Linked DNA regions of Elephas maximus indicus. The protein of the gene in region 1 interacts with the protein of each later gene in a pairwise test. Links are inferred from orthologs where the notes say so. Each region holds a gene or a part of one and is shown in the gene's direction. Other genes may lie near its edges.

Region 1 (3,747 bases):
TTCCATGCCCCAGATAGAAATCAACATAGGAATGTTTTTGCAGATAAGGGTTCTTTGTGTCTGAAAAGTTTTCCATTAAACAAAGTTTTCAAGAAAAAAAGAACACACATAAGGTCAGGAAAAATATTTGCTGAGGTTTAGAAAGAAATTTCTGCAATTAAGGAAGCCATTTTTAATACTGATAAACACACTCTCCATGGCGCGATGGGGCAGATGCTGGATTAAAGAGGTTAAGGGTGCGAATTCTACCAGGGCTAAATGGCACATGATTTATTTGCGAAACAAAAGTCACAAAACAATATTTACCCTTAGTGGGTGGGATGCATAATTTTATTCTCTTCCTTCCCCATCTCCATCCTATGCTATTTTGCTGTTGTGTGTGCTTTTTATGCCGCTCACCACACAGTAAGTGGAGTCTACAACCTACTAATGGGTCATAGCCGTTTGAAAAGCTCTCTCATACAGCATTATCATACTGTCTGAGCAGGGATATATGTAAGAAATTTTCAATCACTCGCCTAATTCTAAAAGGAACCATTGTATTGGAAAACAGAAACATGAGTTTGACTGTGAACGTCTGTGGTTCCTTCCCTCCGGGGGCTTTCATCCATGTCTATCAAGTAGGGGCTGACAATCTGCTAGCAAGAGGCTGGAAGACTGTTTCATTGGGCGAGGCTGGGTGGAGATAAACGGGGTTTTCTCACCCGCGTGTCTGGATGAATTCAGACGGTCCTTAAGGCTCCCAGAAACCGGTGTTTCTTCGAAGGACAGGCCAGCACCTGGGCATCCCTGTCCCTCACGGCCAGCGTCCTCCTCCCCGCCTGACCGAGGCCCCGCCCCTGGCCGAGGCCCCGCCCCTGACCGAGGCCCCGCCCCCTGACCGGCCCCCGCCCCCGCCCCCGACCGCCGACCCCACCCCACCCCCAGCGACGCCCCCCGCCGGCTGCAGTGGCTGCCGCGCCCCGAGGCGCCTGCTCAGTTGCCGGACGCGGCGCGCGAGGGGCGGTGTCGCCGCGGCTGCTCCAGCATGGCGGCTGCGGCCCTGGGCAGCTCCTCGGGCTCCCCGTCCCCGGCCGTGGCTGAGCTCTGCCAGAACAGCCCGGAGACCTTTCTGGAGGCCTCCAAGCTGCTGCTCACCTACGCGGACAACATCCTCAGGTGCGCGGCGGGCGGGAGCGCCGGGGCGGCCGGGGCGCGGCGCCCGCTCGGCGCGGGTCTGGGGGCGCCCGACCCGGTCTCGGAGGGCGGCGGGGACCGGGGGGACCTGGCCTGGGGGTGGCGCCGCGCAGGAGCCCGCAGGCCGGGGCCCCGGGACCGCACAGGCCCCATCGTGCCCGAAAAGAGGAAGTTCCCTTTGCATGTGTGACTTGGCACCTGAGATCGGAGTGCACCGGGGTGCGCTGGAGGTCCCCGGTTGGGGCAAGGCGGCGGGGCGCGCCCAGGCACTTGCTTCTCACTCGGGTGTTTAACTAACTGTCTTAAATGCCAAGATATGAACAGTAATTGCGCTTCCGTGTCCGCTACGTGGACTCCTCGGAGCAGGGCGGCTTAAATACACACCTGCTTATCAGAAGTTAGTCATTGACAGCCTGGTGTTTTCTTCCCAACGCTTCGTAGATATCCTAAAGCATACTACTGAAGTTTCGTGTTTAATTTTAAGAGTTTTTTTTTTTTTTGGCCATTTTTGTTGGTTGAAACATTATTAACCATATTATTGTAAAGTTACACTTATCACATCAATATCTGAATTCTACTTTTCAGTATGACTCCCTAAATAAGTAAGAATTGGTGAAGGATAGGAGTGATTTGTTTCATTCACCTGTGAGTAAAAGTACACGTCTAGAGCTGACGTTTTAGGAATGGGGAGGCAAGTTGGCATGAAATCTAAAAACGAGTTGCTCTTCGTTTCAAGGCTATAGATTTTCTGTGACCCAATTTTAGAGACATTAGTTACAAGTGCAGTGTTTAATCCATGGCAGTAATAATACTGTTCATTTAGGTAATGTTAATGATTTTAAAGGTGTTTAGGGAAATTGCATTGAGCCCTTATTATGTGCCAGATATTCTGAGGGGTACACTATGTGCACTGTTTACAGCTACAGAATCATGACCTGTCTAGGGACCGCCTTCCTCCTCTGTGATACCTTCCCAACTCACCTCACTGAGAGGTCTTAGAGCTATTCAGAGCAGAAGGATGCCAGTGGGCTCTGCATGAATGAACTGGAGAGGCTGGGTTTTTCACAGCCCATCAGCTGGGCCTCCTGCCTGAAAAGCCACCCAACTATTTAAACCACACCAAGAAACCCTAGGGGGCAGTTCTCTGTCCTGCAGGGTCACTATGAATCAGAATGGACTCAATGGCACAGGGTTAATCCGAAAAGGGTGGTGGCCTTGTAGTGAGGACTCACTAGGTTTCGATTCTGTGAAACCAAAAATGCTGAGATCAAGGTACTTTGAGGAAGGAAACCCTCTGCATGCAAATAATGACTTTTGGCATCATAATCATCATTATGAATGTTAACCAAACCCCTGGAAGAGACTTGGCATGCTGTAGGTTCAAGTTATAGTCTTTACTGTGGCTTAGGTTTCTCCTCTTAAAGGCTTTTCTTTCCTGTTGCTTTTTTTGTTTGTTTGTTTGCTTCTTATTTATAAAGGGAATTAGGCATCTGGAACTCCTATAAAAAAGATGGTATGAAAAGAAACTGTCCTTTTTAGTTAAGATAGTAGTACCCCTGTCATCAAATTCTTAGAATTCAAATCCCTTCAGGCGTCAGGAGGAAAAACCATCTTTTCTTTCCTATCCAAACCCAGTGTCTTCCTAACCTCTAAACGGAAAAGCTCCGGATTCTTTTTTGGTCCCCAGTCAAGCAACAATAGAGATCTGCTAATTGAAAGTATTTGAGAATGGAGAAATCCAGGTTTTTCTGTTGCTTTTTTTGTGTGTGTGGTTTGGGGAAATCCACTAGTGTTAGAGGCAAGGAACTATATGTCTTCTCATCTTGATGACCCTCACTCCTGCTTCAGGGGAGAGCAAGAGCTGAAACATGAATTTTATTCGTTTTTTTTTTTTTTTTTTTAAGCAGTGATATTTGCCACTGTACACATTGAATTTCAAGTGAAAAGACTACTTTTGATTAAGTTTTTTAAAATGTCTGCCTCAAGTGACGTTTATCCTTCTCCCCAAATACCAATCATAAATCTAATGAACTTACAGAATAAAATATGTGTTAATTTGAATCCCCAGATTCCGTTAGTTTGGATCTTTTACCTCTTTTTCAGGCCATTGACTTACAGAGACAAGCTGTTCTCTATAATACCCGCTTCCACAAAAGCCTGTAACAGCATTTCTCTATCATTCCACATGAGTTCCTTCAGTAATTTGCTGCATTCATTCTTTAAACAATACATTAGATTTTCCACGAATTTCCTTTGCAAAGTGCACACAATTATTGATTCACAACTGGGTATGATTGGGAAGGGCCAAGAGTAGTACCTGGTTTCTTCCTTCAAAAAATATACATCTATTTGAGAGAAAGGCACAGGTATGGAAAATAACCAGAGCATAAAATCTAGAGAACAATTCCAAGACAGTGTTTAAGCACATTTATATTTATGTGAGGAGATAGCAGTGGGACCTAACACAGGTCAGGTTTGATAAGGTTGGACCTTGAGAAGTCGATGGACCAGTGGAGACCTTATATTTGACACAACAGATTAAGAGAAAGCATTTGTGTTTTCTAGAGTCCA
Region 2 (3,747 bases), on another chromosome or scaffold:
GGCAGAATGTTGTATAAATAAGAGTAACAGGTCAACAACATAAGCAAGGTTTAGTATCTGGTAATGACATTTACTACAGTGTGAACTTAGTCAATTATTTACCATGTGGTTTCTTTACGAATAACACGATGACAATAATTACTGGCAGCGGGATATATAACACATGTAATGCACCTAGCATGGTGCACATAGCAGGCACCAACAGAATATTCCCCTTCACACATTCTTTTCACAACCCTTCCTGCAAAGCTCGACTGGAAATCGCACTTTATTATTTGTTTACATCTCTCTGCTCCCAACCCTTGCATTCTCGGGGCGCAACAGTGCCTAGAATAAAAAAAAAAAAAAGGAGTTTAAATCTCGGTGGAATGAAGAGGGCTTAGGAGTCTCTAGTTCTGGTTGCAAAGAGCCTTTACGGTGCTCTCACCCTCAATTCTATGCTTTGGGGGTGATGGGCTTACCTGGATCTTGACCGGGAAGAGAACAAGGCTAGAAAGGTGGGGTTGCACGTTTCATCAGCTAAAACATTCAGGGAAGTTTTCATGGATGAGTTCACTGACCCTGCGAGCCTCTGCTGCCCCCCGGGGTCAGTAACTGCCCTCCGCGGCGGTTTACACCGGCTCAAGCCTCCGGCGGGGGGAACACGAAAGGAGAGGCTAACCCTAAATCGCCGCCAACTTGCCCCGGCGCGCGATGGGAGGGGGATTCGGCGGCCACACAGGGGCGCGGCGCGGCCAAGAGCGGATCCGCCCCCTCCTCCGCCGGCCTTGCTGCGTAGCTCCGCCCCCGCCGTTGCCCGGCAACCGTCCCGGAAATCCCGGGGAGGCGCGTCTGGGGGGGGTTGCCGACGGCCGGCGGAAGATGGCGGAGGGTGGCGGCGCGGAGCACGGCGAGCAGGCGAGACGGGCTTCTGTGCCGCGGCCCCCGAGCGCGCGGGACTTGCAGGTGCGGCGGGAGGCCGAGGGCAGGGACGGCGGGCGCGCGTCAAAGGCCGCCTCTGGCCTCGGCTGAGGTCCCCTCAGGCTCCTTGTGGGGGCAGAACCTGGCGCCGGCGCTGCGTCTCCCCGAGGCGTGCATCGCGCGGGGGTGGCTGTGGAGACAGGTGCCGGAATCCGTCTTCTACCGGTGTCTCCCTTCCCCTCCACCCCATTTTACAATTTGCTGAAACTAACAAGCAATTCAGTTTAGAATGGCGTTTTGTGGGGCCGTTTGTGCTGTCCTCCCCCCCCCGTTTGTGTTTCCGGTGATTTCGTGCGGAGGAAGTTTTTATTATCGACGTTGGGGAATCAACGGAGACTTCAAACGTGGGAGCCGGTGGGCAGGTCTGTCCGCTCTGGTCCTGGATGCGGTTTCTGACCTGATGACATGTGTATATAAATAATTCCTTTTTGTCATTTAGCTTTTATGTTTCAAGGGGGTGAATTAAACGTTTTCACCCTACAGTACAGCCTAGATTTTGAAGCTACAATCTGTAAAACATTCCGTATAAAGAGACGAAGAAATATAACTTTATAATGTTATAGGACACGTTTGTTAGCTAAATAGCAGTGCACCGAATACTGCTTTACGTGATGATTTTAGGTCTTTTTTCTATCTCCTTATGGGATCGTTGATAAAATTGAACAAGTGAAGGTCTGTAAGTAGCTATAATTTTAAAAAAAGGAGAATCCACAAGGCTCCATACTACAGTCCTATTACTTTATGGTCACACCTTCATTCCTCGTCTTTAAACAAACATATTGACCACCTTCCGTATAACAACATACTGTCTAACTCGGGCAATGCAAAGATAAGTAGGACATCGAATCCACAGTCAGTGCTGAACACTTTGGGCAAACAGAAGACGTCTAAAAGTTCTTTCTACCTTTTGAAAGCTTGCGAACTTTTTGGAGAAATGGGGTATGAATTCATTTAACATATTTTAGAATGGAGTATGATTGAATGCCAAAATAAGCAGTACATAAATGAGTAATTTGGTGAATGGAGAGATCAGTGTAAGGTTAGAGATGAACCAGATGTAAAACAGTTCCGGTGCCTGTAAGTTAACTGAGTAGTAGTAAACAGCATCAAGGAACAGGAAGCTGTCATCTACCTTATTTCTATTATAGACCTTCTCCCATTGTTGTCCAGTTGATTCCGACCCATGGCAACTTGATAGGACACAGTAGAGCTGCGCCATAGGGTTTCTAAGGCCGTAATTCTTGAGGAAGCAGACTGCCACATCTTTCTCCCACAGAACAGCTGATGGGGGCGACCTTTGGTTAGCAACAGAGCACTTAACCACTGCAAGGAGGGCTCCTTTCTGTTACAGGCATCACTAAAGAGGCAGCCTGGGGCCTTGGGAAAAAATGGGTGTGGTCAGAATGCACGTGCATTTTGGTCCCACCACTTAGTAGTTAAGTGTACTTAGGAAAATTTCTTAACCTTTCTGGTCCTCATTGTTCTCATTTATAAACTGGAGGTGCTGTTGATGGTAGTGGTGTAAGGATTAAATAAAGTAATATCTGTAAAGCGCCCGTGCGCAATCCCTGTATTATCCTAGCACAGTACTTGCTTGATAAATGTCTGGTTCCTTTTTTCCCTCAAGGGAAGAAAATGCTGTAACTTTCACAGGTTAGCACCACCAGTTGCCATCCAGTCTGTTCTGACTCATAGCAACCCTGTGTGTGTCAGAGTAGTTCAGTGCTCCATAGGGTTTCCAGTGGCTGATTTTTCAGAAGTAGATTGCCAGACCTTCCTTCTGAGGCACTCCTGGGTGGTCTCTGTGGTTAGTTACCATCCAGTCAGGTGGATTCTGACCCATGGAGACCTCATGGGTGCGGCGTAGAACTGCTCCATAGGGTTTTCAAATGCAGATCACTAGGCCTGTTCCCTGAGACTGCTCTAGGTGGGTTTAACCACAAACCTTTTGGCTAGTAGTCAAGCACTTAACTGTTTGCCCAACCCAGGGACTTGGGGTGGACTTTGGTGGATTCTAATACCATTAAAATTAAAATTAAAACTGGCAGTCAAGAAGTCAAATGACGCATTGCATTAGACAAATCTGCTATAAAAGACCTCTTTAAAGTGTTCAAAAACAAAGTCCTCACCTGGAAAGCTAAGGTGTGCCTGACCCAAGCCATGCTGTTGTCAGTTACCTCCTACGCATGTGAAAGCTGGACAGTGAATAAGGAGGACTGGAAGAGAATTGATGCCTTTCAGTTGTGGCCTTGGAGAAGAATGTGGTCTGCCAAAAGAATGAAAAAATCTGTCCTGGAAGAAATACAATCAGAATGCTCCTTAGAAGTAAGGATGGCAAGACTGTGTCTCTCATACTTTGGACATGTTATCAGGAGGGATCAGTTCCTGGAGAAGGACATACTGCTTGGTAAAGTAGGTCAGTGAAAAAGAGGACGGCACAGTGGCTGCAACAGTGGACTCAAGCATAACAACAATTGTGAGGATGACACAGGACCAGGCAGTGTTTCCTTCTGTTGTACATAGGGTCAGTGTGAGTCAGAACCAATTCCAGGGCACCTAACAACAACAATTTAATATCATTTTCTCTAATTTTAATTCATTTCTTCCTTTCATGTGAAAAATGAGAACAACTTGGTTAATGACTACCCGATACCAGGCAAATTGTTTACAAACTTAGAATCCATTAGATCAATATGTTATTAATGTTTCCAAATATTCTGGTAGGTGTTAATTGTGAGGCTGCCTTTGTTCCCACCATAAATTTGAAGGTAGGGATTTTTTGTTTTC
Region 3 (3,747 bases), on another chromosome or scaffold:
CCAGGGTCTGGCACTCCATAAAACTTAGCTGTATTTCCTGAGCTATTGAAAAAGGTGTTTAGCTCCTTTGGAAAAAACTATCTGGCAAACAGTGCAAGATGAGGGGTAGGGTGAAAAGTGGGGCTGGGCAGAAAAGGCTAAGGGGAATGAAGAGAGTGCCTCCCGTCTCCCTCCTCACTACCAGATCGCTTTATCTTCTCCAAATGACCATTAGCCAATATTACAGGAGGGAGGGGAGTGAATGCATGTACTGTACAAACGTACCTGCCAACTCACTGCTGTGGGCGACTGCACTTTGAGAACCTACGATACAGACCCAAGCTGCCCAATACAGTGGCCACAGTCCACATGTAGCTACTTAGAACTTTAAAAAGATGAAATACGACTAAAATTTCAGTTCCTCAGTCACATTAGCAATACTTCAAGTGCTCAAAACGCCACAGGTGCCTAGTGGTTACCACAGTGGACAACGCAGACCAAAAGATCCACCAACAAATTTAGGAGGAAGTTATGCTTTTAAGTCAATCTATTTAGTGTCCCATGGCACCCCATTTACATCACCACTGAAGCTAAAAAGAAAATATCGAAGAGTTCACAAAGTGACATGCTATAAGCAAAAAGGTTTATCTTATAGAAAAAAGCCAACCAGGGCAAGCACCTGACTGGACCTATTAAAAGAAAAAAGCATCAAACATTTTTAATCTGCAATGAACAAAGGCTGAAGACTAGAACAGAAAGGGATTCCAGGAGACTCAACGCTACCCCGGAAAGGGACCATGAAGTTGGAAAAGTTGGTTTCCTTTGGTGAGAATCCCTGAGTTCTAGCTTTAGGGGTTTGGATTTTATGCTGAAGACAGAGAGAACCACTGCAGAATCATGCGAAGAAATGACCCAATGAACACGTAGCAGCATTTAAAACTTCTGCAACAGCGTGGAAAGCAGGAGATGATCCGAAGTGAAAAAACCTTGAAAAGGAAGCTCCAAACAAGATTTGGGGTAAAGGAGGTAATCACTCAGAAACGATTCCAGTATTATTTTCTGGATACTGAAAAAAAAAAACAATGACATGGAGAGGTGTACAAAAAGGATAAATATGTAGTTTTGGAAGGAGCCAATAAACCCACTTCCAGGCGCGAGTGAGGTGACGCTACTGCCCCGGGCTTCTCCCTCTCCTCCCTCCCAGGGGCCCGCAGAACTTCAAGGCAGCGCGTCCTTCCCCAGCCCCGGCCCCTCACGGGAGCCTCGGCCTCCCGTCACCCGTCCCCGGCCTCTCCTCACCGGCTGCGGCCTCCTCTTCCACTTCTTCCGTGGACAAGCGACTTCAGCAGCACCGAAAGCGTGAGCGAGCGAATGGCGGTCCCGCGCTCCCAGAAGACCCCGCGTTCCCAGAATGCCGCGCGCGAGGCCAGCCCCCTTCCTTTCTCCGGTGGTGGGCGCTGTCTCGCCTCGGCTGCCTCCTCACCCAACCGGATGGGAAACGCGGGCTGTGGCACTATAGTTCCGGCCCCGAAAAAGCGTGCTGATGACAGGGCCTGGGTGCCGCCGGAAACACCGATACTCGGGCCGGCAAGGGGAAAGGGGAGCTCGCGCTTCCAGGCACCCCACACCAAGGCCGAGTTGGACGGCAAGGCGGAGATGCGGGGCCTGGGCTCTCGGATCGGGGGCGGCAGGCTGTGGGACTAAGCGCCAGGACCTGCCCTCGCAAGTTAGCCGTTGGAACCCGGCACCGCCCGGTAAGGAGCGCCCCGAGCGAGGCGAGGTATCCATTATATGGACAGGGAAACTGAGGTATAGAGTAGTCGGAGTAGGGTTGGGTCTCCTGGAGACCCGGCGGAACAAGGGGCAGGCCAGGGATTATACCTGAGGGAGGCCCACAGGGGCGGAGCCTGACTTAAGGGAGAGCGCCAGCCTTCGGGGCGGGGCTCCAAGAAAGGGGTGGGGCTTCCGGGGATCCGCGGGGACGGGCCTGTGCGTCGGCGCAAGGGCTAGGGAAAGGGGCGGGGTCAAGAGAAGGCGAGACAGCGAATGGCCGGGGCAGGCTTCGATCAGGCGGCTGGGGAACGGAAGGGACTGGGCCTCCAAGCCGGGGCCCAGGTGGGGGCGGGGCGTCCGGGGCCGCTGCCAGGCAGGGCTGGGGCGGGGCTCGGGGCCGCGGACCGTCGCCTTCTGTCCCCTCCGCGGACCAGACGCGCCGCCGCCGCGCTCCCGCCCCAGCCCGAGCGGTAGCCTGCGCCAGGTCGGGGCCATGGGCGCCCCGCGCCGCCCGGGTCATGAGGACGGAGGCGGAGGCAGCGGGACCGCCGCTCGAACCCGGTCAGTGCCTCCCCAGGGCCTAACCCTGGCCCCGGGGGACGAGGGTCCGGCCGCGCGACCTTGGGCGGACTGCCGCCTGGGCAGCGCTCTGGAGTTCGGACGGGACGGGGCCAGCTGGACACCCCGCCCCAGCCCCACTTGCCAGTCGGGGTTTCATTGTCCTCCCGGAGCTGAGGCCCCTGTCGCCCGGCCGTGGGGCGGGGTGGGGCCGGTCCCGGCTGTGAGGCGGGGCGCCACCTTGCCTAGAAGCGGGAAGTCCAGCCGGAGACGCGTGGAAGATGTGTCCCCTCGGGGAACTGTGGAGGACGCTGAGGCTCAGAGAAGGGCAGGGGACTGGGCGGGAGCACAGAGCGAGTGCGCCCCTTCTCTTCCCCTTCTCAGACTGTGGTCAGCTCTTTTCTTGCTACATGTCTTCACCCTTGGTTCCTTCTGCCCTAAGGGGGCCTTTTGGGGAAGCAGAGGCCACTACTGGTGGGGCAGTGCCGCGGCCTGAGTTTGCTTGTCTGAGAAGGGGATAGTGGGGGAGTGCGGTGGTTCCTGCTCTGCTGAGAAGAGGTGCCAACTCAGGGAGAGGCCAAAGCATATGGGACTGGCCCTGAGCTGTCATGGATGGTGTCCTCACACGAGGGAGGGGTCGCCTTTGTTATTGCAGGGTGGAGCAGGGGTCTGATGCTGCCGCAGAGTGTAGGCCCTGCTCTCCAGTTAGCTCAGCTACGCTCTTGGGCAGGACATTGCCTTTCCTGAGCCTGAGCGAGTCCCGGCTCATATTTATAGGGGGTTTCCTATGAGGTGGGAACTGTGCTGAGTGGTGTATGTGCAGTACCTCGTTAATCCTCATGATGACCTCATGAAGGAGGCTACTGCTGCTGTTATTCCCAGTTTTACAGATGAGCAGACTGAGGCTGAGAGGTGGTGAGCACCCAGGGCCACTGAGCGCCCTCCCTTCTCTGATGACAGCTGCCAGCTGATGCCAGGGCCCTCCAAGCAGGCCCAGCTCTTGGGGTGTTCCTTGGTGCCATGTATTAACATCTGGTAGTGGCTGTGGGCTTGAAGGGCTGAAGCTGTTATCAGGACAAAAACCAAGGTCTTGCCTGCCCTTATCATCCTTCCACCCACCACACGCAGAAAATCACCTCCAGCTTTCTATAGAGTGGCCTGCCTGGGCCAAGGCTGGGGACAGCCACCTGGGGTTTTGGCCCTTTGGGGCCTCAGGATCAAGGGTTCTGGAGCTCAGGGCATGAGGAGGAGGGGTAGCTAAGACTCCCAGGGCCCTAGAGAATGCTGCCAAGCATGGCCACAGGGGAGGTCTGGCCACAGATGGCCTAGCTGGTGTGGCCAGAGCTGGTGCCAACCAAAGTAGGGAGGCAGCCTTAAGCAGAGGGCAGTGGTCTGGAAGCCTGGGGGCAGGAAATCATTGCAGTGACAAGCAGCCCC

Evidence for each region. The genes of interacting proteins can lie anywhere in the genome.
Region 2: the proteins of NGLY1 (region 1) and UBXN2B interact in binary tests that used the Homo sapiens proteins (3 or more experiments, as listed by UniProt). The two-hybrid records come from large-scale screens. The link is inferred for Elephas maximus indicus from reciprocal best matches to the Homo sapiens genes NGLY1 and UBXN2B.
Region 3: the proteins of NGLY1 (region 1) and GUCD1 interact in binary tests that used the Homo sapiens proteins (3 or more experiments, as listed by UniProt). The two-hybrid records come from large-scale screens. The link is inferred for Elephas maximus indicus from reciprocal best matches to the Homo sapiens genes NGLY1 and GUCD1.

The regions. Positions count from the first base shown.
Region 1 is NC_064845.1:13,770,854-13,774,600, forward strand, and holds the start of NGLY1 (peptide-N(4)-(N-acetyl-beta-glucosaminyl)asparagine amidase), read left to right. Parts: upstream 1-933; 5' UTR 934-1,027; coding exon 1,028-1,158; intron 1,159-3,747. UniProt on the Homo sapiens protein: Specifically deglycosylates the denatured form of N-linked glycoproteins in the cytoplasm and assists their proteasome-mediated degradation. Cleaves the beta-aspartyl-glucosamine (GlcNAc) of the glycan and the amide side chain of Asn, converting Asn to Asp.
Region 2 is NC_064837.1:73,906,689-73,910,435, reverse strand, and holds the start of UBXN2B (UBX domain-containing protein 2B), read left to right. Parts: upstream 1-811; 5' UTR 812-861; coding exon 862-945; exon of another isoform or gene 946-3,747. UniProt on the Homo sapiens protein: Adapter protein required for Golgi and endoplasmic reticulum biogenesis. Involved in Golgi and endoplasmic reticulum maintenance during interphase and in their reassembly at the end of mitosis.
Region 3 is NC_064840.1:23,014,183-23,017,929, forward strand, and holds the start of GUCD1 (protein GUCD1), read left to right. Parts: upstream 1-1,478; 5' UTR 1,479-1,522; coding exon 1,523-1,733; intron 1,734-2,111; exon of another isoform or gene 2,112-2,270; coding exon of another isoform or gene 2,271-2,313; intron 2,314-3,747.